3 linked regions of the Macaca mulatta genome follow. The protein of the gene in region 2 interacts with the protein of the main gene of each other region in a pairwise test. Links are inferred from orthologs where the notes say so. Each region holds a gene or a part of one and is shown on either strand. Other genes may lie near its edges. The genes, in order: PRAM1, CCDC57 and TSGA10IP.

The links.
Region 1: the proteins of CCDC57 (region 2) and PRAM1 interact in binary tests that used the Homo sapiens proteins (3 or more experiments, as listed by UniProt). The two-hybrid records come from large-scale screens. The link is inferred for Macaca mulatta from reciprocal best matches to the Homo sapiens genes CCDC57 and PRAM1.
Region 3: the proteins of CCDC57 (region 2) and TSGA10IP interact in binary tests that used the Homo sapiens proteins (3 or more experiments, as listed by UniProt). The two-hybrid records come from large-scale screens. The link is inferred for Macaca mulatta from reciprocal best matches to the Homo sapiens genes CCDC57 and TSGA10IP.

What each region holds. Positions count from the first base shown.
Region 1 is NC_133424.1:9,353,965-9,361,508, forward strand, and holds the start of PRAM1 (PML-RARA-regulated adapter molecule 1), read right to left. Parts: upstream 4,741-7,544; 5' UTR 4,580-4,740; coding exon 4,508-4,579; intron 4,302-4,507; coding exon 4,149-4,301; intron 3,535-4,148; exon of another isoform or gene 3,163-3,534; intron 2,031-3,162; exon of another isoform or gene 2,009-2,030; coding exon 1,643-2,008; intron 1-1,642. Other genes in the region: uncharacterized protein LOC114674096, read right to left, coding at 4,741-5,529. UniProt on the Homo sapiens protein: May be involved in myeloid differentiation. May be involved in integrin signaling in neutrophils. Binds to PtdIns(4)P.
Region 2 is NC_133421.1:91,826,289-91,833,283, forward strand, and holds part of CCDC57 (coiled-coil domain-containing protein 57), read right to left. Parts: exon of another isoform or gene 6,635-6,995; intron 3,579-6,634; coding exon 3,474-3,578; intron 2,897-3,473; coding exon 2,680-2,896; coding exon of another isoform or gene 2,480-2,679; exon of another isoform or gene 2,185-2,479; intron 1,982-2,184; exon of another isoform or gene 1,878-1,981; intron 839-1,877; exon of another isoform or gene 604-838; intron 1-603. UniProt on the Homo sapiens protein: Pleiotropic regulator of centriole duplication, mitosis, and ciliogenesis. Critical interface between centrosome and microtubule-mediated cellular processes. Centriole duplication protein required for recruitment of CEP63, CEP152, and PLK4 to the centrosome.
Region 3 is NC_133419.1:8,471,179-8,478,945, forward strand, and holds the start of TSGA10IP (testis-specific protein 10-interacting protein), read right to left. Parts: upstream 4,281-7,767; 5' UTR 4,085-4,280; coding exon 3,938-4,084; exon of another isoform or gene 3,894-3,937; intron 2,846-3,893; coding exon 2,709-2,845; intron 2,617-2,708; coding exon 1,892-2,616; intron 1,723-1,891; coding exon 1,575-1,722; intron 1-1,574.

The sequences.
Region 1 (7,544 bases), on a different chromosome or scaffold from region 2:
TTTTTGTATTTTTACTAGAGACAGGGTTTCACCATGTTGGCCAGGCTTGTCTCAAACTCCTGACCTCAGGTGACCGCCCGCCTCGGCCTCCCAAAGTACTGGGATTACAGGTGTGAGCCACCGTGCCAGGCCTAGATCACCCTATTTTTCTTTCTTTTTTCTTTTCTTTTTTTTTTTTTTTTTAAGACGGAGTCTCACTCTGTCCCCAGGTTGGAGTGCAGTGGCGAAATCTCAACTCACTGCAACCTCCGCCTCCTGGGTTCAAGCGATTCTCCTGCCTCAGTGTCCTGAGTAGCTGGGATCACAGGTGTCTGCCACGACGCCCGGCTAATTTTTTTTGTATTTTTAATGGAGACGGGGTTTTACCATGTTGGCCAGGCTGGTCTCAAACTCCTGACCTCAAGTGATCCGCCCACCTCAGCCTCCCAAAGTGCTGGGATTGCAAGGCATGAGCCATCACACCTGGCCTAGACCACCCTATTTTAAATGGATCACCCCATCCCACTACTGCCCTGTGCAGTCAGCATACATGATTTTCCCCATCGTACCGACCCCATGTATCATACTATTTTACATTGCTTTTAATGTGTCTTGAAAAAATTTTTTTTTTTTTTTGTCTCTCTATACTGCAACTTCCCCCAGTTCCTCAGCCTCTGCAAGGCAGAGACTTGGCTCATTCATTCATTGCTATCTTCCCAGGGCCTGGAACATAGTAGGTGCTCAGTAAATATTTGCTGAACGAAACAATATTTAGGCGGCACAAAGACAGTCACGTACTCAGACTGACCATCAGGAAAACACAGAGACGCCTGGAGACGGCTATGCGGTCCCTCTCACACCGTCTCCGACATGCGGGCTGATGGTCAGGAATGCTCACAGTTGACAGTGCGTGAGAGGACCGGTGCGGACACCGTTGGCACATGTGCCGTCTCCTGCACGCCCAGCTGTCCCGGCTGCCCTCCTAGCTGGCCCTGCAACCACTGCCCACAGATGTAGGCAGATTCACAAGCAGGCCAGGCCTCCTTGGCCCTACAAACGCCCCCTTCACCTGTGGTCGAGGAGACTGGGGGAGGGCAAGGGCAGAAGCGTGTGGCCTTTACCTCCTGTGTGTACCTCACTTTCCCCATCCAGAGGACCAGAGACCAGGAGTGCTCCTTGAAAAGGCAGCGATTCCCAGCGGGGGCCTGAAGTGCCCCTGCCGAAGCCCCCAGTGGTTTGAAGGAAGTGCTCCCGGGTGACCACAAGGCTAGATAAGTCAGGGTTAGCAGGTCACAACTTGGGTGACTGGTCGGGGGAGGGCCATGACCCACTTTGTCACCCCACAGGAAAGCACTGCTCTCACCCCAGCTGCCCGTTCCCACATTGCTGCTCATGTTGACCTAGGGAGACGGGAGACGTCCCCCCGGGTAGTCCCATCTGTCCCCCTCGCAGTCCCAATCTGAGCCTGAACCCCCAGGAGCCTGTGCTGTCCTGGGGTGTGCCTGGCGGCCTCCTACCTCGGGTCCTTTTTGCCGACCCTTCCCGTTTCCCAGATGTCTTTCGCAGTCCCCCCTGCCCCTCCACAGGTGGATCCTATCCTCCAGGGAACACCTGTGTCCCTTGCTTCCCGGCTATCGAGGCACAGGCCTCTCCCCGTACTCACCATGGCTGCAGGCAGGTGATGGGCCACGGGATGAGTGGGACCCGAGCTGGGGCCGCTGCCTTCAGGAAGTGACTGTGGCTTCTGCTCCACGGCCAGCACACAGGGTGGGGGCTGCTGGAGGTGGGGCGGGGGAGGGCAGAGGAGGAAGGGAAGGAGGTGGGGAGGCTCCAATCTGTCTCCAGATCCTGCCAGCCACTTCTTTTTTTTTGAGACTGAGTCTCGCTCTGTCGCCCAGGCTGGAGTGCCATGGTGCCATCTCGGCTCACTGCAACCTCTGCCTCCCGGGTTCAGGCAATTCTCTTGTATCAACCTCCTGTGTAGCTGCGATGATAGGCACGCACCACCACTCCTGGCTACGTTTTGTATCTTTAGTAGAGAAGAGGTTTCACTGTGTTGGGCAGGCTGGTCTCAAACTCCTGACCTCAAGGGATCAGTCCGCCTCGGCCTCCCAAAGTGCTGGGATTACAGGCGTGAGCCACTGCGCCTGGCCCCTCCTGGGCACTTCTATTTCCCTTGAATTCCTGGCCTGCCTGCTACTGTCCCAAGCTTGGGGCATTGGTTGCCTGCATGTTCCTAACATGGTCACTAGTTTCTTTTTTTTTTTTTTATTTGAGACAGAGTCTCACTCTGTTGCTCAGACTGGAGTGCAGTGGTGTAATCTTGGCTCACTGCAACCTCCGCCTCACAGGTTCAAGCAATTCTCCTGCCTCAGTCTCTTGAGTAGCTGGAATTACAGGCAAGCACCACCATGCCTGGCTAATTTTTTGTATTTTTAGTAGAGATGAGGGTTCACCATGTTGGTCAGGCTAGTCTTGAACTCCCAACCTCAAGTGATCTGCCCGCCTTGGCCTCCCAAAGTGCTGGGATTACAGGCGTGATCCACCTGACCAACTAACTAGTTTCTTACTCTCTGTAGTCCCCGTCATTCCCACCACTTTGGTGTCCCCATCTCTGGACTCCAGGGAGGACTCCATGCCAGGCGCTGGTGATCTCCTGGGCTGGAGAGCCACAGGATGGGGAGATCTCAGCAGGTCAGGGGTACGGACAGCTCTGGGGTTTAGGAGGCTCCTGGGGAGGCCCAGAGACCCAGGACGTGGGGGCCCATGTGACCGGGTGAGGCCTCTACTATCTGCCCCGGTTGGCTCATCCGCCTTCCTCATTTCATTCCTCCCAGGGCTGCCACCCTGTGCAGAAAGCTCAGCTGGTATGGCAGATTTGGGGGTTGGGGGGTGAGTAGTGTCAAAGGCCTTGCACCTGGGCCGGGCATGGTGGCTCATGTCTGTAATCCTAACACTTTGGGAGGCTGAGGCAGGATGATCCCTTCAGCCCAGGAGTTCAAGACCAGCTTGAGCAACATAGCAAGACTCCATCTATACAAAAAACATAAAAAATTAGTCAGGTGTGACCGGGCGCGGTGGCTCACGCCTGTAATCCCAGCACTTTGGGAGGCCAAAGTGGGTGGATCACGAAGTTAGGAGATCAAGACTATCCTGGCTAACACGGTGAAACTCCATCTCTACTAAAAATACAAAAAATTAGCTGGGTGTGGTGGCAGACGCCTGTAGTCCCAGCTACTTGGGAGGCTGAGTCAGGAGAATGGCGTGAACCCAGGAGGCGGAGCTTACAGTGAGCAGAGATCGCGCTACTGCACTCCAGCCTGGGCGACAGAGCCAGACTCTGTCTCAAAAAAAAAAAGAAAATATTAGCCAGGTGTGATGGTACGCGCCTGTGGTCTCAGCTGCTTGGGAGGCTGGGGTGGGAGGATTGTTTGAGCCCAGGAAGCAGAGGCTGCAGTGAGCTATGATCACACCGCTGCACTCCAGCCTGGATGACAGAGCAAGACCCAATCTCAATCAATCAATCAAGAGCCACAGTAAAAAAAAAAAAAAAAAGGCTGAGCGAGGTAGCTCATGCCTGTAATATGAGCACTTTGGGAGGTTGAGGCAGGCGGATCACCTGAGGTCGGGAGTTTAAGACCAGTCTGGACAACATAGAGAAACCATGTCTCTACTAAAAATACAAAAATTAGCTCAGCATGGTGGCACATGCCTATAATCCTGGCTACTCGGGAGACTGCGGCAGGAGAATTGCTTGAACCGGGGAGGCAGAGGTTGCAGTGAGCCGAGATGGCGCCACTGCACTCCAGTCTAGGTGACAGAGCGAAACTCCATCTAAAAAAAACCCCAAAAAACAGAACCTCCAAGAAACTCTGACTTAATCAGTCTGAGGTGTGGCCTGAGCAAGTTTTTTTAAATTTTTTAATTGTTTTTGAGACAAAGTCCTGCTCTGTCACCCAGTCTGCCTCCCGGGTTCAAGTGGCTGGGATTACAGGTGTCCACCAACATGCCTGGCTAATTTTCTGGATTTTTAGTAGAGATGGGGTTTCACCATTGACCAGGCTGGTCTCAAACTCCGGACCTCAAGTGATCTACCCGCCTGGACCTCCCAAAGTGCTGGGATTACAGGCGTGAGTCACCGCGCCTGGCCTGCCTGTTTGTTTTCACACCTCCTTTAAGAGCACAGACATCATGATTCTGCCATCTTGCCATCTCTGTTGTGCCTTTGCATCCGGTCCAGGGTCACAGTTGCCAGATGTGGGTTGCCCTCCCAAACGGGAGTCTCGGGAGGACAGTATGGGCCCTCCGTGGGTCTCCAGAACCTGGGTAAGTGAAGGAAAGAATGAAAGAACAAGTGGCCGGGCCCGGTGGCTCACGCCTGTAATCCCAGAACTTCGGGAGGCCAGGCGGGCGGATCACCTGAGGTCAGGAGTTCGAGAGCAGACTGGCCAACATGGTGAAACCCTGTCTCTACTAAAAATATAAAAATTAGCTGGGCGTGTTTGTGCACACCTGTAATCCCAGCTACCTGCGAGGGTGAGGCGGGAGAACTGCTTGCACCCGGGGAGGCGGAGGTTGCAGTGAGCTGAGATTGTGCCATTGCACTCCAGCCTGGGTGACAGGGCGGGACTCCGTCTCAAATAAATAATAATAAATAAATATAAATAAATAAATAAAGCAATTCTTGGCCACAGTAGGTGCTCAATCAAGGTAATTAAGGGATTGGATGACAGCTGATGGATTCCCAGGTGCCTGGGTCGGTCACACTGCCCGTGCACTCTCGCAGCTAGGAGGGTCCAGACAGGGCGCGCGCACCAAGGCACCACGGGGGCGCCGTGGGGGTGACGCGCAGGTCCCGGCGCGGTCGTCATGGTGCGCCTCCCCACCAACTCCCCTTTGTGTATTTGGCGCCTCCGTAGGGGCTCCCGGCAGGGTTCCGCGCTGCACGGCCGCAGATAGGGACCGATAGGGCTCTGGAATCCCAGAGAAGCAAGCCCGGACCAGGGGCAGTGAGAGTTCGTTAGGGCGCGGCTCCGGGACTCTGCGGTCGGAAACCGGAACAAGTGTGCGCAGGGGGAGGAGCCCGGGGAGCACGTGCGCGGCGGATTCCAGGGCCGCGGGGCGCTTTCCTCCTCCCTGCTCCCGGCCCGCGGTGAGGGTAACCGGACCGGCACCTGCAGATGACAGCTGGGGCTGGACAAATGCCGGGCGGTGCACGGGCCTCTGGCCGGCCTCAGAGCTGTTCAGCACGAGCCCGCGGCTTCCAGCCAACCTGCCTGCTATCTGCACTGCGCTCCCGGCTTTCATTCCCCCGAGTCTGAGACTCCTGGGCGCCCCCTGCTGGGCGGAGCCGGGGCCCAAGAGGACTGGGTTCCTGTGCATGGGGGTTGGGAGCCGGTTTGAGGGTAGGAGGTCGTTTTTGTAGTGGACAGGGTGAACGGCGGAAGCCAGGTGGTGATCCAGCTCCCCAGGCCTCGGGGCAGTCAGTTCACTCCAGAGGGCAGTGTGATGACCGTGGGCCCACTGTACACACAGGAAGGGCTGTCCCATCTCCGTGGGCGACGGGGTAAGGGAGAGGTCCCTGGACGGAGGTGTCGGCTCTGGGTCTCTCTGGAAAGATAGTGACAGACTGGGAAGTAGCGTGGGCTAGATCTGGGGGTGGCCGAATGAGGAAACTGATGGGGACGAAGACTCCTGCTGGCCTCCGGGACCCTGGAGAGGGGTTAGGGGCCTGGGGGACAGAGAACACAGCGCTATTCCTGGAGATGGGGGATAGGCTTGGACTACAGCCAGATCTAGAGACCTCCAGAGTGCGGGAACAGGGGCGTGTCCTCTGGACCTGCTGCCAGGGTTTCCTCATCCCGTGGTAACTGTGCGCAGCTCCCAAGATGGTGCAGAATCAGTGGCCCTGACTTGGAACTGGCGCTCGCTAGAGGCCTCCTAGCCTCACCTTCTCTATGTATCTGTAAAACGGGCCCCTTCACCTGTCCCACCCTCCTCCCCAGGCAGCCATGGGCTCGGGATGTGAAGTTCTCGGCAGACATTTCCCAAGTCCCTCCTCTCCCCGCAGCCTCTCTTTTCATCCTCCCATCCACCCCAAAGGGCTCACCCGTCATCATGACACCCTTTTAAGGACGAGGGAATTGGGAGGCGGGGAGGTCGAGTCTTTTCCAGGGTCCCACAGTGGTGGTTTCAAGGCTTCTGGCCGAGAAGGGGGAGCTTAGGGGGCCTTGGAGCCCCGGGGCCTCCTGATGGCCTGTCCAACCCCATCCTGAGTGACAGCGACCTCAGCTGGGGCCTAGGGGTGCTGGGAGAGTGGACACCCAGCCCAAGCCACGTGAGCTGAGGCTGCAGCCCCATCACATCACAGCCCCATCAAGGACAGGGCAGTCTTCAGGCCCCTGGTGAGGCTGTGGGCAGTGGGGCACACAGACGGGTCCTAAGGGCCTGAGGATCCCCTCCTGCCCCTTGCAGTGGCTGAAGGGCTTCCGGAGCCCAGAGCTGTCCATCTTTGAGGTGACATGGCACTGAGCAGGTGTGGGGCAGGTGGCCCTTGGCTTGTTTACCTGGATGGCTTTGACTCAGAGCCTGAGGTGGACACGGTGGTGGATGAAAAGTCCAAGGAAGATAGGTGTGGTGACTCACGCCTGTAATCCCAGCACTTTGGGAGGCCAAGGCAGGTGGATCAGCTGAGGTCATGAGTTCGAGACCAGCCTGGCCAACATGCTGAAACCCCATCTCTACTGAAAATACAAAAAAATTAGCCAGGCATGGTGGATGGCACCTGTAATCTCAGCTACTCGGGAGGGTGAGGCAGGAGAATGGCGTGAACCTGGGAGGTGGAGGTTGCAGTGAGTCGAGATGGCGTCACTGCACTCCAGCCTGGGCTACAGTGCGAGACTCGGTCTCAAAAAAAAAAAAAAAAAAACAATCTGAGGAAGACGACAAGGAAGGTGTTGGGGGGCAAGAAGTAGGTAGGAGGGCAGTGACGGAGGAGTGGGGTCCGGGGGCCCCGTCCAGGGGTCACTGGTGTCTTGGCTGCAGATGCCAGGATGAGGAGGTGAGGGGGACCCCGAAGTGGATTTAGAGAATGGAGAAAGAGGAGGAGGTAAAGATTGAGACAGGTGGACTGGGGTGAAGGAGGTCCCTGGGCTACTGGGAGAACAGGATCTTCATCGACAGGGCTGTGGGAAGCCACTGAAGGGTGCTGGGCAGGAGAGGGGAACAATCAGAAGAGACCCTGGCAGGGTGTGGTGGCTCACACTTGTAATCCCAGTACTTCGGGAGACCAAGGTGGGTGGATCACCTGAGGTCAGGAGTTCGAGACCAGCCTGGCCAACATGTTGAAACCTCGTCGCTACTAAAAACACAAAAAGTTAGGCAGGGGTGATGGCAGGCGCCCGTAATCCCAGTTACTTGGAGTCTGAGTCAGGAGAATCGTTTGAATCCAGAAGGCGGAGGTTGCAGTGAGAGCCGAGAGCGTGCCACTGCACTTCAGTGACAGAGCAAGACTCTGTCTCCCCCCCCCAAAAAAAAAAAGGAAAAAGAGGAGACCATTGTCAGTC
Region 2 (6,995 bases):
GACAGAGCGAGACTCCGTCTCAAAAAAAAAAAAAAAAAAAAAAACGCGAGGAGGCAGTGCCCCTAAGAATCCTGAGCCCAAAGGAGAGCCATAGAGTGCAGGTGGGAGGGTCAGGAAGACAGAGCGGGACGCGGCTGTGTGGAAGACAGAGAGAAACGCACCACAGTCGTGATGCCGGAACTGAAGCACACGGGAACAGAAGCCAGCCACACAACCCCATTCCTTCCTAAGGCAGAAGGGAAGCTGCATCAATCCCAAGAACACTTACAATAGCGTTTGTGGGGAGGGGCTGGCGGAACCAGACTCAGACAAGCCAAGTCTAAAAAGTATACGAAAATAGGCCGGGCATGGTGACTCACACCTGCAATCTCAGCACTTTGGGAGGCTGAGGCAGGAGGATCGCTTGAGTCCAGGAATTTGAGATCAGCCTGGGCAACACAGGGAGACACCATCTCTACTAAAATTTTTTTTTTTTTTTTTTTTTTTTTTTTTGAGGCAGTCTCATTCCCTCACCCAGACTGGAAAGAGGTGGTGCAATCTCAGCTCCCTGCAACCTCCACCTCCCAGGTTCAAGCGATTCTCATGCCTCAGCCCCCCAGGTAGCTGGGATTACAGGCATGCACCACCAGGCCCAGCGAATTTTTGTATTTTTAGTAGAGGCAGGGTTTCACCATGTTGGCCAGGCTGGTCTTGAACTCCTGACCTCAACTGATCCATCTGCCTCGGCCTCCCAAAGTGCTGAGATTACAGGCGTGAGCCACTGCCTCCAGCCCTCTCTCTACTAAATTTAAAAAGAAAGAAAAAAGAAAAAACAAATACATGCAAATAACCAAGAAAATTCTGAGAGAGAAGGGTAAAGAGGAGATCCTAGATCAGCCAGACAGGTAAAAGGACCAGGAAGTGACACTGATTCCGACCCGATGGAACTGCCTGTGAACAGACTGACTGCGGCTGAACGAACCGTCCGGATACAGCCCCAAACGCACATGGAACATTTAGCATCATAACAAAGGCGGGAGTCCAAATACGCAGGAAGCATGAGCAATGGAAAACTGGGAGCCATTGCCATTGGGGGTTAATAAGAAGGGATTCTGGCCGGGAGCGGTGGCTCACTCCTGTAATCCCAGCACTCTGGGAGTCCGAGGCGGGCAGATCACAAGGTCAGGAGTTTGAGACCAGCCAGGCCAACATGGTGAAACCCCATCTCTACTAAAAATACAAAATTAGCCTGGAGCGGTGGCGGGTGCCACTACTCGGGAGGCTGAGGCAGGAGAATCACTTGAACCCGGGAGGCGGAGGTTGCAGTGAGCTGAGATCACACCATTGCACTCCAGCCTGGGCAACAAGAGCAAAACTCTGTCTCAAAGGAAAAAAAAAAAAAAAAAAAAACCAGAAAAGATAAAAAACAAGGACATTAAATTACACAAAAATAAAAAATATGAACATAAAAAAACACCACACGAAACATTTAAAAATATGAAGAACTGGGAGAAAACATTTGCACTGCTATCACCAAAAAGGCCGAATTTCTCTCACATATAACGAGCTGCTACAAATCAGTAAGACAGACGACAATCTAATATACAGAGGAGCAGAGAACTGAAGAACAGGAAAAGGAAGTAACTCCTAAACACACACGAAGAGGCACGACCTCCTAACAGAGGCGCTGATTCCAACCCTGCCTGCCACCGGCAAAAGCTCCGTGTGGCTCCACGACTCTCAGACGCTGCTGCTGGGGGCAGCCTCCGGGTGGGCAGCGGAGGCTGAGGCGATGGTGTCCACCACACGTGGTGTGCAGGCAGCCTCGACTAAGCAAGCCGGGGCACTTACACGTGTATTTTCACACACTGCAGCCTGTAAGGTTTCTATTCTAACAGTATCTGTGATGGCAAAGGACTGGAAACAGCCTACAATGCGCATGAAGGAGAGAATGCTTAAATGAATGCGGCACGTCCTCATGATGGAAGACAGAAGCTGCAAGGTAAGAAGGGGACGCCCTCCACGCAGGCACACAGGACGGACGCGTGCTCCCGCCCCAACACATCGCACGTCCCACCACTCTAGCTGCTTCGAAGCAGCATCCGTCTCTCTCCACCCTTCTTCCCACGTCATGGACCCATGCAGTCCCCACAAGGTGCACCCTTCAAATAGACCTTCCTGAAAACATCCTGAGACCATTCGCAGGAGCTGGCACTGTGACCTGCTGAGTTTACCAGGCCTATGACTTAGGTGCACAGCAGAGTCTCAGGGGGATGATGTCTGTGCAGCAAAGCAGGATGAGGACAAGGATGCGGCGTGACGCTTGTCTGGCCCCCGAGGCTGAGCATCACTGGGGTTGGCCTGGCTCTTCCCCGGGAGCCGGGCTGTCTAAAGTGTACCAACGCCTGCGCGTCTCACCTAGAACGTGGACGTTCCATTCTATGTCAGCACGCACCCGGGTGTACAGTGCTGCGCTAGGAGGTGGCATGGTTTCTGCCCTTCAGGGCTTTGCACCATAACCTGGGAAACACTCAGGTGCCAAATGAGAGGTAAGGAGACTCCGTGCATTACTCAACCAAAGTGCAGGGATTTCAGGGTGTGGGAGGCATGCAGGGTGCTGACTCTCCACATGCCCCTCGGAGAGGGTGGCCCCCACCAGCTGCCAGCTGTGGGCAGCTCCTGGGGAGGGCAGTCTCCTACCTGGAGTTGAGTCACCCTGGGAGGTGAGGCCAGAAGGGCTGGATCCCAGGTCTAGCAACCTCCAAGTGTCCTGGAGGGCGCCACTGGCAAGGGAGGAGGAGCTGTGGGATTGGCGGCCATGCTCCTCAGGGCGCTTGGGAGCCTGGGGTGGCTTTGGGGACCTGCCTTCTTTCTGCCGAGGTGATTTACAGGTCACCGTGTGGATGCTGCGTTGTGTCTAGAAAAGACATCATCGTCTTGAAAGCCACCCTCTCCAACCCAGAGGAAGCCACAGGACTCCCCCAGCCACTCCCCTGGAAGCAGTAAGGAGACAGTGGGCCTGGCTCAAAGGCCCAGGCAGATGCTCCCAGGACCACCCAGGAGAGGGAGCTGCAGACAGGGGTGCATCTGGGGAGTGAGTCTCAGCGCTGGGAACGCCGAGTGTGAGCAGGGCCTGAATCTCAGTGCTCATCTCAACAAACGACAAAACACGTCTAGGGCAGAGGCTGCCCCGTTTCGATGGGGAATGAGTTGAAATGCAGGGCAGATACCCTGAGGGGCACAGCAACGAACGGCCAGCGTGGGCCCCGTGTGCTTTAGGGGTCCTGGGGCCCTCCCAACACCTTTACCGCCCTTGTGGGACCACCCAGCAAACGCTCTGCAGCTCACCCTGCCATTGCGAGCAGCCCCTGGCCATGGCACAAAGGCAGGTGCAGAGCGAAGGCCCCACCGAGAGGCCCAGAGGGCCCAGACCCTAGCTTCCCTGCCGGCCACACCCCACGCAGCCGCACCGGCACAGGCACTGCCACTCTCACCTTCGGGCCTCGCAGGGCATCAAATCTGCTGCCCACCTGTGCTGGGCGGGGCCGGTGCTTTCCCAAGGGTCCCAAAGGACACTCCTCCTCGGCACTCTTGGCGTCCTGCCGTGGGGATTTACACGAGAGGACTCTGGTATTCACATTCACTGATGGTGTGTGTCCGTGAGTCTTCCCACAAGATTGGGAAGGAATGCCTCCCCACATTTCTGGTATTAAAGACTCACATCATTTGGTGACAGCCTAGACTGAAGGGACCTGTTTCCCAGACAGGATGAATGGAGCAGGCTTCCCCAATCATTCATTCCCAGGAGCCTCCTCTGCAAGGCCAGGGCAGCCTGTGCATGGCCTGCCTGGGGTGAGAGCCCCCTGGCCCAAGATGGGCACAAGTGGCCCCCAGTGATACCGCCTGGCTGATTCTGCTGCTTCTTTTTGTTTTGAGATGGAGTCTCACTCTGTCACCCAGACTAGAGTGCAGTGGCGCGATCTCAGCTCACTGCAACCTCCACCTCCTGGGTTCAAGCGATTCTCCTGCCTCAGCCTCCCAAGTAGCTGGGATGACAGGCGCCCGGCACCACGTTTGGCTAGTTTTTGTATTTTTAGTAAAGATGGGGTTTTACCATGTTGGTCAGGCTGGTCTTGAACTCCTGACCTCAGGTGATCTGCCCGTCTCAGCCTCCCAAAGTGCTGGGATCACTGATGTGAGCCACCATGCCCGGCCACTTATTTTCTGGGGGTAGGGGGGTGGAGAGACAGAGTCTCACTCTGTCGCCCAGGCTGGAGTACAATGGCACCATCTCGGCTCACTGCAGCCTCTGCCTCCCGGGTTCAAGTGATTCTCCTGGCCCAGCTTCCTGAGTAGCTGGGATTACGGGCACCTGCCACCACGCCTGGCTAATTTTTTGTATTTTTGGTAGAGATGAGGGTTTGTCATGTTGCCCAGGCTGGTCTCGAACTCCTGACCTCATGTGATCCATCTGTCTTGGCCTCCCAAAGTGCTGGGATTACAGGTGTGAGCCACTGGGCCCAAACATCGGCCACATTTTTTTAAAAGAAAAATAAATTTAGGCCGGGTGTGTTAGCTCATGCCTGTAATCCCAGCACTTTGGGAGGCCGAGACAGGTGGATCACTTGAAGTCAGGAGTTCGAGACCAGCTTGGTCAATACGGCAAAACCTCGTCTCTACAAAAATACAAAAATTAACTGTGTGTGGTGGTGTGTGCCTGTAGTCCCAGCTGCTCAGAAGGCTGAGGCAGGAGAATCACTTGAACCTGGGAGGCAGAGGTTGCAGTGAGCTGAGATGGTGCCATTGCACTCCAGCCTGGGTGACAGAGTGAGACTCCATCTCATAATGAATAAATAAATAAAATAAATACAGGCCGGGCCTGGTAGCTCATGCCTGTAATCCCAGCATTTGGGAGGCAGAGGTGGGCAAATTGCTTCAGTACAGGAGTTCGAGACCAGCCTGAGTGACACAGTGAAACCCTGTCTCTATTAAAAGAAAAAAAAAAAAGCCAGGCGTGGTGGTGTGCGCCTGTAGTCCCAGCTACTCGGGAGGCTGAGGTGGAAAGATCACTTGAGCCTGGGAGATGGAAATTGCAATGAGCCGACATTGTGCCACTGCACTCCAGCCTGGGCGACAGAGCAAGACACTGTCTCAAATATAAATAAATAAATTTTAAAAAGAAATAAAAAAGGAAACAAAAAGGGTCTTGGCTCCATAGAGGTTTCTTTTCTCAGTTTTAAGAGTTATTTCTCGGCCGGGCGCGGTGGCTCAAGCCTGTCATCCCAGCACTTTGGGAGGCTGAGGCGGGAGGGTCACTTGAGTTCAGGAATTCTAGGCCAGCCTAGGCAACATGGCGAAAACCTATCTCTATAAAAAATACAAAAATTAAGGCCGGGCGTGGGGGCGGGCGCCTGTAATCCCAGCTACTTGGGAGGCTGAGGCAGGAGAATTGCTTGAATCTGGGAGGCAGAGGTTGCAGTGAGCCCAAATTGTGCCACTACACTCCAGCCTTGGGTGACAGAGCGAGACTCCGTTCAAAAAAAAAAAAAAAAAAAAGAAAGGACAGCCAAGAAAATTTTGTAAAGGAACAGAAAGAAATAAGGTCAAGCTTGCTCTAAGAGAGATTAAAATATGTCACAAAGCCACAGTATTTAAAGCAGTATAGCACCATTTCAGGAACAGACAACTCATTGGAACTGGGTAGAAAACCCCAAAATCGATGCAGAAGCTGAACTTCTCAAGGCTGCAGCATCAGACAGATCCATAGTCTACAAGACACTGACGGATTTTTCAAAAAGACACAGAAAGGCGGAGGGAGTGTCTGGGTGAAAGGATAAAAACACAAGAGCCAGATGCAGCAGGAATTCTGGGCTCTGAGGTTACGGAAAACCAGCAAGGAACACACAGAAATCACCCACAGAAGAAGAACTACAAATGGCCAATAAATAGATTAAAAGCATTTAATGCCACTAAGGACATAAGAAACGTCTGTCTTTGTTTTTTTGGTAGAGACAGCGTCTCACTGTGTTGCTCCGGCTGGTCTTGATCTCCTGGGCTCAGCTAGTCCTCTCACCTCAGCCTTCTGAGTCTGGGGTTACGAGGTGTGCGCCACCACACATGGGTAATTTATTTTTATTTTTATTTTTCTGTAGAGACAGTCTTGCTGTTTTGTGTTTTTTTTGAGACGGAGTCTTGCCCTGTCATCCAGGCTGGAGTGCAGTGGTACGATCTCGGCTCATTGCAGCCTCTCCCTCCCGGGTTCAAGCGATTCTCCTGCCTCAGCTTCCTGAGTAGCTGGGATTACAGGCGCCCGCCACCACGCCCGGCTAATTTTTGTATTTTTAGTAGAAATGGGGTTTCACCATGTTGGTCAGGCTGGTCTCAAACTCTTGACCTCATGATCCACCCACCTCTGCCTCCCAAAGTGCTGGGATTATGGGCATGAGCCACCCCACCCAGCCATCTTGCTATCTTTTAAAAGATACGAGTTGTGGCTGGGTGCACTGACTCATGCCCATAATCCCAGTACTTTGAGAGGCCGTGGTGGGCAGATTGCTTGAGCCCAGGAGTTCAAGACCAGCTTGGGTAACATGGCAAAACTCCATTTCTACCAAAAAAAAAAAAAAAATTAGCCATTAGGGATAGTGGCGCACACCTGTGGTCCCAGCTACTTGGGAGGCTGAGGTGGGAGGATCATTTGAGCCTAGGAAGTCGAGGCTGCAGTGAGCTGTGATGGCAGCACAGCACTCTAGCCTGGGTGACAGAGCCACATCCTGTCTCAAAAAAAAAAAAAAAGATAGAAGTTTTTGGGTTTTTTTTTCACTTATCATACTGGTAAAGATTTAAAAAATAGTACCCAGATATGTAAAGTTATAGTAAAACATATACATGATACAATTTATAATTAAAAAATAAAAAAAACGGGGGTTGGGTGCCGTGGCTTACACCTGTAATCCCAGCACTTTGGGAGGCAGAGGCAGGTAGATCACCTGAGGTCAGGGGTTTGAAACCAGCCT
Region 3 (7,767 bases), on a different chromosome or scaffold from region 2:
AAAAAAAAAAAAATGCTGAATGAACTCTCCCCTGCCCTCACATGCCACCTGTCACCAGTCACCAAGGCCTATCGAACCAGCCTCTAAGTGTCTCTTTTTTTTTTTTTTTTTTGAGACGGAGTCTCGCTCTGTCGCCCAGGCTGGAGTGCAGTGGCCAGATCTCAGCTCACTGCAAGCTCCGCCTCCCGGGTTCCCGCCATTCTCCTGCCTCAGCCTCCCGAGTAGCTGGGATCACAGGCGCCGCCACCTCGCCCGGCTAATTTTTTGTGTTTTTAGTAGAGACGGGGTTTCGCCGTGTTAGCCAGGATGGTCTCGATCTCCTGACCTTGTGATCCGCCCGTCTCGGCCTCCCAAAGTGCTGGGATTACAGGCTTGAGCCACCGCGCCCGGCCTAAGTGTCTCTTAAATGGATCCCCTCCCTCCATCCACAGGGCCTCCTTGTTCAGGGCCTATGGTTCCTCACCTCAGTGTTGCCAACAGTCTCCTCACGGCCTCCAGTCTCCCCTTCAGCTCCCACTATCTCCTTTGCTTTAGAAACAGAATCTTGCTCTGTTGTTCAGACTAGAATGCAGTGATGTGATCATGACTCACTGCAGCCTTGAACTCCTGGGCTCAAGAGATCCTCCTGACTCAGCCTCTAGAGTAGCTGGGGCTACAGGCGCTTTCCACCAAGCCAGGCTAATCTTTTTTTCCTTTGTAGACACAGGGGTCTCGCTATGTTGACCAGACTGGGTTTTTTGTTTGTTTGTTTGTTCATTTGAGACAGAGTCTCACTCTGTCACCCAGGCTGGAGTGCAGTGGTGCAATCTCGGCTCACTGCAACCTCCACCTCCCAGGTTCAAGTGACTCTCATGTCCCAGCCTCCTGAGTAGCTGGGACTCCAAGCACGCACCACCATACTTGGATAATTTTTTTATATTTTCAGTAGAGACAGGGTTTCACCATGTTGCCCAGGCTGGTCTCAAACTCTTGAACTCAGACAATCTGCACGCCTTGGCCTTCCAAAGTGCTAGGATTATAGGCGTGAGCCATCGCGCCCGGCCCCTTAACTTATTTTTTAGAGACAGTGTTTCACTCTGTTGCCCATGCTGAGTGCAGTGGCTGGATCATAGCTCACTGCAGTCTTGATCTCCTGAGCTCAAGAGATCCTCCTACCCCAGCCTGCTGAGTAGCTGGGACTACAAGCATGTGTCACCATGTCCAGCTAATTCCAAGTCTTTTAATAGTTACATCCTAAGGGCCCAGGAGTATATAATAAATGTTGGATTAATCACTTAGTTAATAGTTTAATGGATGGATAGAAGAAAAGATGGGAAATAAAAGTGGCTGTATCAGTAGACAATTGGCCAGGTATTCAGAGAGATGGGTGAATGGTTGAGTGGATGTTACCAGTAGTTGGATGGATGGATGGATGGATGAATGGATGGATGGATGGATGGACGGATGGATGATCCAAAAGTTTGGTGAATGGATAAATAAAGGAATGAGAGTTCAAATGCCTAAGCATCTCTTGGAGAACCAGCTCCATCTCTACTTCTCACCATGGGCTCCCACTCCCTTCTCTTCCCTCTTACCTGGTGGCTTCCTGTCGTTTGTGGAAGGTGCGATTGGGGAGGTTGGCAGACGGGAAAGTTTCATCGTCTTCCGAGGCATAGGCCTTTCCATTCTGCTTGGAGGCCTGGAAGGCAGCCCTCAAAGCCTTCCAGGGCTGCTTTTGGGGGCCTGCCCACAGTGGGACCAAGTCAGGGGCTGCCTCTCTCTCCCAGGCCGCTGGGCAATCCCCGCAGCACCCAGAGCACAGCCCAGCCTGCCTGAGCCCAGCCTCCCTGACTGCTCCCTATTCCCCACAGTGTAGCTTCGGGGGAACCCGGGCCCCGAGTCGCACGCTCACCACAATCCAGGTCTCTCTGTAGCTGCCTGTGCAGCTTCTCCAGGTCCCATGGCCCCTGCAGCTCCCTGGCCCTTGTCTTCCTCCTCTGTGGCCTTTGGAGGTTGTTGAAGCTAGGCCTGCTCCCCTGGCTCTGGCCCTGCAGTTCCCCTTCATCCGAGGCCTCCTCTCCGGAAATCTGCCCCTTTTTCTGACAACCAGCCCTCCTTCTGCAGGGAGCCCTGTGCTCTCCCTCCTCAGCCTCCTCTGTGGCCTCTGAGAATTGCTCCTCCTCTGAGATGGACCCCCTCCTGGGGCGCTGGGGCGGCTCCCCAGAACTCAGACCCCTCTCAGCCTCCTCAGCACCCGGGCCTAGCAGCTGGACCTGCTTGTCGGACGCCGATCCTGATCCTGGCCTCCTCCCAGGCGGCTGGAGGCCACACTCACTGGGGGTCTCCGGTCCTAGCTCCCCTTTGCCAGGAGGGATGGAGACACCACCCCAGGCTCCCAGCTGTTGTCTCGCCTTCAGGTTTTGCACCTCTGTCTTCCGGCAGCAGCCATAGGCCTCTGGGAGGTTGGCCGTGGACTTGCGCCTGGACTGGCGCTGGGAGGATGAGGAGGGCATGGGCAGGGCTTGGTGGCCTGGGGTTGGGGAACTTGGCTGAAGCACAGCCCGGACATCTGTGGCGATGCTCTCCCAGGCCCACTGGAAGGGGAAGGAGGGCTTCCGAGGAGGAAGGCGGAAGAGACTGAGAAAGGACAGGGTGGGGTCAGGGTCGGCACCAGCCCCCAGAGGGCCCTGACCCCCAGCACCCTCCTGACCCATCCCACTGCTCCTTACTCTTCAGCCTCTTCAGAGCCCTGTCCTTTCTTGCTCTGGCCCCTGGGCTTGCGGTCCTTCTTTGCTGTCTGCCTTGAGCTCTGAGACCTCCACTGCAGGTCCTGATTTGGCACACCATCACCACTCCCCAGGCGGCCCTGGGCAGAGACATTAGGGGAGGAGCAGCCAGCTCAAGCAGCCTCCTGGACTGTGTTGCACCTCACCCGGGTGCCCTCCTCTTCTGTGCACCTGGCTGGGCCTGGCTGGGCCCCTCTGGGCCCTCGTTACCGTAAAAACCAACCAAACAGGGCAGGGTGCGGTGCTCACGCCTGTAATCCCAGCACTTTGGGAGGCCAAGGGGGGCGGATCACCTGAGGCCAGGAGTTTGAGACCAGCTTGGCCAACATGGTGAAACCCCGTCTCTACTAAAAATACAAAAAAAAAAAAAAAAAAAAAAAATTAGCTGGGTATGGTGGCCTGCACCTGTAATCCCAGCTACTTGGGAGGCTGAGGCAGGAGAATCGCTTGCACCTGGGAAGTGGAGGCTGCAGTGAGCTGAGATTGCGTCATTGCATTCCAGCCTGGGCAAAAAGAGCAAAACTCAGTCTCAAAAAAACAAAAAACAAAACAAAACAAAAAAACCCGACCGAACACCACCTCCATTCTGCATATTAAAATAGCAACAGCCACCACCTGCTGAGCACCTACTGTGTGTTCAGGACTTTCATGCATAAACACACCTTCCCAAGGACCCTAGGAGGCTGGTACTCATTATCACCCCCATCACTTGGAGGAGAAAGCTGAGGCTCAGAGAGGCTGAGTAACTGAGGTCACACAGCTGGGAAGTGGTGGAGCCCAGATTTGTTACCATTGCACTAGGCCGCTTCTGGGCCCTGGACTGCACTCCCAAATGTCCCACTGGGCCCTGGACCTGCTACAGCCAAGGCAGAAACCAAGGTGATTTTCATCCAGGTGGTCTTAATCTTTCCTGAAACGCTGCTCCTCCCACAGTGTTCCCTGAATCACCCCATCATCCCGGGGAGTCACCCCCAGGCGTCATCCCTCAGCTTCTCCCAAGACCTTTAGGCCTCCATGTGGTCCCTGTCCCACTCCTGCCTCCCTGACTTTCACCTGGATCTCAGCTCAGGTCTCGTGGCTTCTCAAGGGCCTCCCCAGCCCAGGCCTCCCTGACCCAAGGCAGCCCACCTGGCTCTGGGCAGCTGGAAGTGCCCCCACTGGGCCTACCTCACCTGCTTGTCCTGAGAGATGGTCGACAGCAGCTTGAGCAGCCCAGTGCTGGTTCCTGGAGCCTGAAGCCGCATGTCCTGCCCTGGTCGTGCCAACGGGGTCCTAACCAACTGTTGGTAGGTATTTAGCATATTGGTGTCCTGCCCCATCCTGCCCCATCCCCCATCCCCACCGTGGAACTGCCCAACAGGCCATCTCTATGGCAACCAGTCCTCAGCCAGTCTCAGGGGGTCTGGCAAAAAGCATACTAGGAAGGGGTCAGTGGGGTATGTGAGGCCAATCTCCTTCTAAGGGAGAGCTCAGCAGGGTGCCCAGGAGTCGTTCAGTGCAGAGACCCAGGCCCAAGTCCTGCCTCTGCTCCTGCCTCATCCACAGGCTCCCCATGTAACCTGGTGTAAGTCCTCTGTCCCCACTCCACCTGTGTTTCCCCATCCATCTGTACAGGGGAGTCAGTCTGTCTCCTGTGCTGCCCCCCAGGCCCGGCAAAGTCCCTGAAGGAGCCAAACTGAGATATGGCTCCTTCAGGGACTTGATTCACAAGATTTTTCACAAGATTTTATTTCAATCCTTGCACTCCCAGGTTGGGAGCGGTGGCTCATGCCTGTAATCCCAGCACTCTAGGGGGCTGAGGCAGGTGGATCACTCGAGGCCAGGAGTTCAAGACCAGCCTGGCCAAAATGGCAAAACCCCATCTCTACCAAAAATGCAAAAAAAATTAGCCAGGCATGGTGGCACATACCTGTAATCCCAGCTACTCAGGAGGCTGAGGCACAAGAATCGCTTGATCCCGGGAGGCAGAGGCTGCATCAAGCCCAGATTGCACCACTGCACTCCAGCCAGGGCGACAGAATGAGACTCTGCCTCAAGAAAAAATAAACAAATAAACAAATCTTTGCACTCCCAGCCCCAGCCAGGAAGTCGAACGCTGTGTCCAGGAGAGAGGCAGCAGGCCATTCAGAGCCTGGGCCCAGGCCCACCTAGCCATCTTCATAGGCCATGAGGTTCTGGAGGGAGTTAAAACATTGAACGCTTACCCCAGGCCAGGCGGTGGCTATAATCCCAGCACTTTGGGAGGCCGAGGTAGGTGGAGTGCCTGAGGTCCGGAGTTCGAGACCACTCTGGTCAACATGGTGAAACTCCATCTCCCACCTGGACTGAAACTCCATCTCACTAAAAATACAAAAATTAGCTGGGTGTGGTAGTGGGCATCTGTAATCCCAGCTACTCGGGAGGCTGAAGCACGAGAATCTCTTGAACCTGGGAGGCGGAGGTTGCAGTGAGCCGCCAGCCTGGGCAAAAGAGTGAGACTCCATTTCAAAAATATATATTTTTTTAATATAAAAAAATTAAGGCCGGGCGCGGTGGCTCAAGCCTGTAATCCCAGCACTTTGGGAGGCCGAGGCGGGCGGATCACAGGGTCAGGAGATCGAGACCACAGTGAAACCCCGTCTCTACTAAAAATACAAAAAATTAGCCGGGCGCGGTGGCGGGCGCCTGTAGTCCCAGCTACTCAGGAGGCTGAGGCAGGAGAATGGCGTGAACCCAGGAGGCGGAGCTTGCAGTGAGCCAAGATCGCGCCACTGCACTCCAGCCTGGGCAACAGCGTGAGACTCCGTCTCAAAAAAAAAAAAAAAAAAAAAATTAAAAGATCTTACCCCAAACTTCTAAGCAGTGCTCAAAAGCCTTGGAATCTTAAGTCCCCATGGGACGCCTGGTGCTGACCACTGAGGCCTGCAGTACAGGGATATGGTACTGAACTGAGGCCCTAGAGACGGACCAGCTGGGCTGGAGGCCTGGTGTGGCCTCTCACTAGCTCTGTGACCAACTCCTCACTCTGCAAAACTGGAATCACGGGCCCAGCTCATAGGTTTGTTGCAAGGACTACATGAAACCCCAAACGATGAAATCGGTAAATGTTATTATTATTACTAACACTAGCTGACCATTCTTTTGAGGCAGCAGAGCATCATGGCTAAGAGCACAGAGGAAGCACTTGGGTGCAAATTCCAGCTCCTCCACTTGTCCTGTACCCTCTTGGTGCCTGTTTTCGCATAGGCAATCGGGGGCTGGTTATAATCATATCTACTCCCAGGGTAGTGGTAGGGATTAAATCACTATGCAGATACAAACAGAACATCCTCATGGCTCATGGGAACTGCTATGCTAGCGTTGCTGTTATTCTTATTATCTTTTTTTTTTTTTGCGATGGAGTCTTGCTCTGTTGCCCAGGCTGGAGTGCAGTGACGTGATCTCAGCTCACTGCAACCTCCGCCTCCTGGGTTCAAGCAATTCTCCCACCTCAGCCTCCCGGGTAACTAGGATTACAGGAATATGCCACCATGCCCGGCTAATTTTTTGTATTCTTGGTAGAGAGAGGGTTTCACCATGTTGGCCAGGCTGGTCTTGAACTCCTGACCTCAAGTGATCCACCCGCCTTGGCCTCCCAAAGTGCTGGGATAACAGGCGTGAGCCACTGCCCCGGGCCGTGTTGCTGTTTTTAATTAATCAATGATGTGGCCCCAGGGAAGCAGGTTATCCTGGAAGATGCCGTAGAGGCAGGATTTTTCTCAGACCGTGGCCCTGTGGCCCCTCTTCTGCTCTCAGACTCCATCCCAGTAGCGCCTCACAATGAGCGCATCCAATGTAAATATCCTAAATAGCGCTGCTCTAGGCAAAGCTGTTTTGCCATCCAAAATATGCAAACTCTGTTCTTTCTAGGGGGCTGCCATCCTTCTCCCACACCTGGGGCCCAGCGGAAGGCACATGTAGGCGGCTCCACTTTCAGAAACGGAGCCCCTTCCAGACCTCAACCCAGCTAATTTCCTGGGCAGTCCAGAATTCTGGGCCACTTTCTTCCTTGGCAGAGGGCAAGGGTTTCTCAGGTTGATATTCTCAGGAGGTGCATACAGACCTCTTTCCTCAACCACACTCCCTCCCTAAGTGAGCTCGTCCAGTCTGACAGCCTTAAAAGCCACCTGCTGCTTGCTTTCTGAGACAGAGTCTCACTCTGTCACACCGGCTGGAGTGCAGTGGTGCCATTACAGCTCGCTGCAGCCTCAAACTCCTGGGCTCAAATGATCCTCCTGCCTCAGCCACCCGAGTAGCTGGGACTACAGTTACGCGCCACCATGCCCGGCTAATTTTTGTATTTTTTTGTAGAGATGGGGTTTTGCCATGTTGTCCAGGCTGGTCTTGAACTCCTGGCCCACCTCAGCCTCCCAAAGCATTGGGATTACAGGCATGAACCACTGCGCCAGAACAGCATCTACTGTTTTCCACCCGTCCCCAAGTTTGCATATCTCAGCCTGACCTCTCCCAGACTTAAATATCCAGTGGCCCATCAGATATCCCCACTTGGATAAATAAGCATTTCAACTTGACATGTTGAAGGTCAGACTCCTGGCCTGCCTCATCCCAGTCAGGGGCATGTCTGAGATTCCCGTTGCTCAGGTCAACTGGCTGGTATCATCCTTGACTTCTTCATTTGACTCACATTCTGCCCCTAATGCCTTAGCAAACCTTACCAGTTCCTTAGCAAACCTTACCAGTTCCTTAGCAAACCTTACCAGTTCCTTAGCAAACCTTACCAGTTTGAAATACATGCAGAATCCAGCGCTTCTCCAAACCAATACCCTCTCTCCTCTGGATCATTTCAGTAACACTTAATCTCTGGCTTTTGCTTATTTATTTATTTATTGTTTATTGACATGGGATCTCACTATATTTCCCAGGCTGGTCTCAAACTCCTGGCCTCAAGCCATCCACCTGCCTCAGCCTCCCAAAGTGCTGGGATTACAGGTGTGAGCCACCACACCCAACCTCCCAGTTTTCG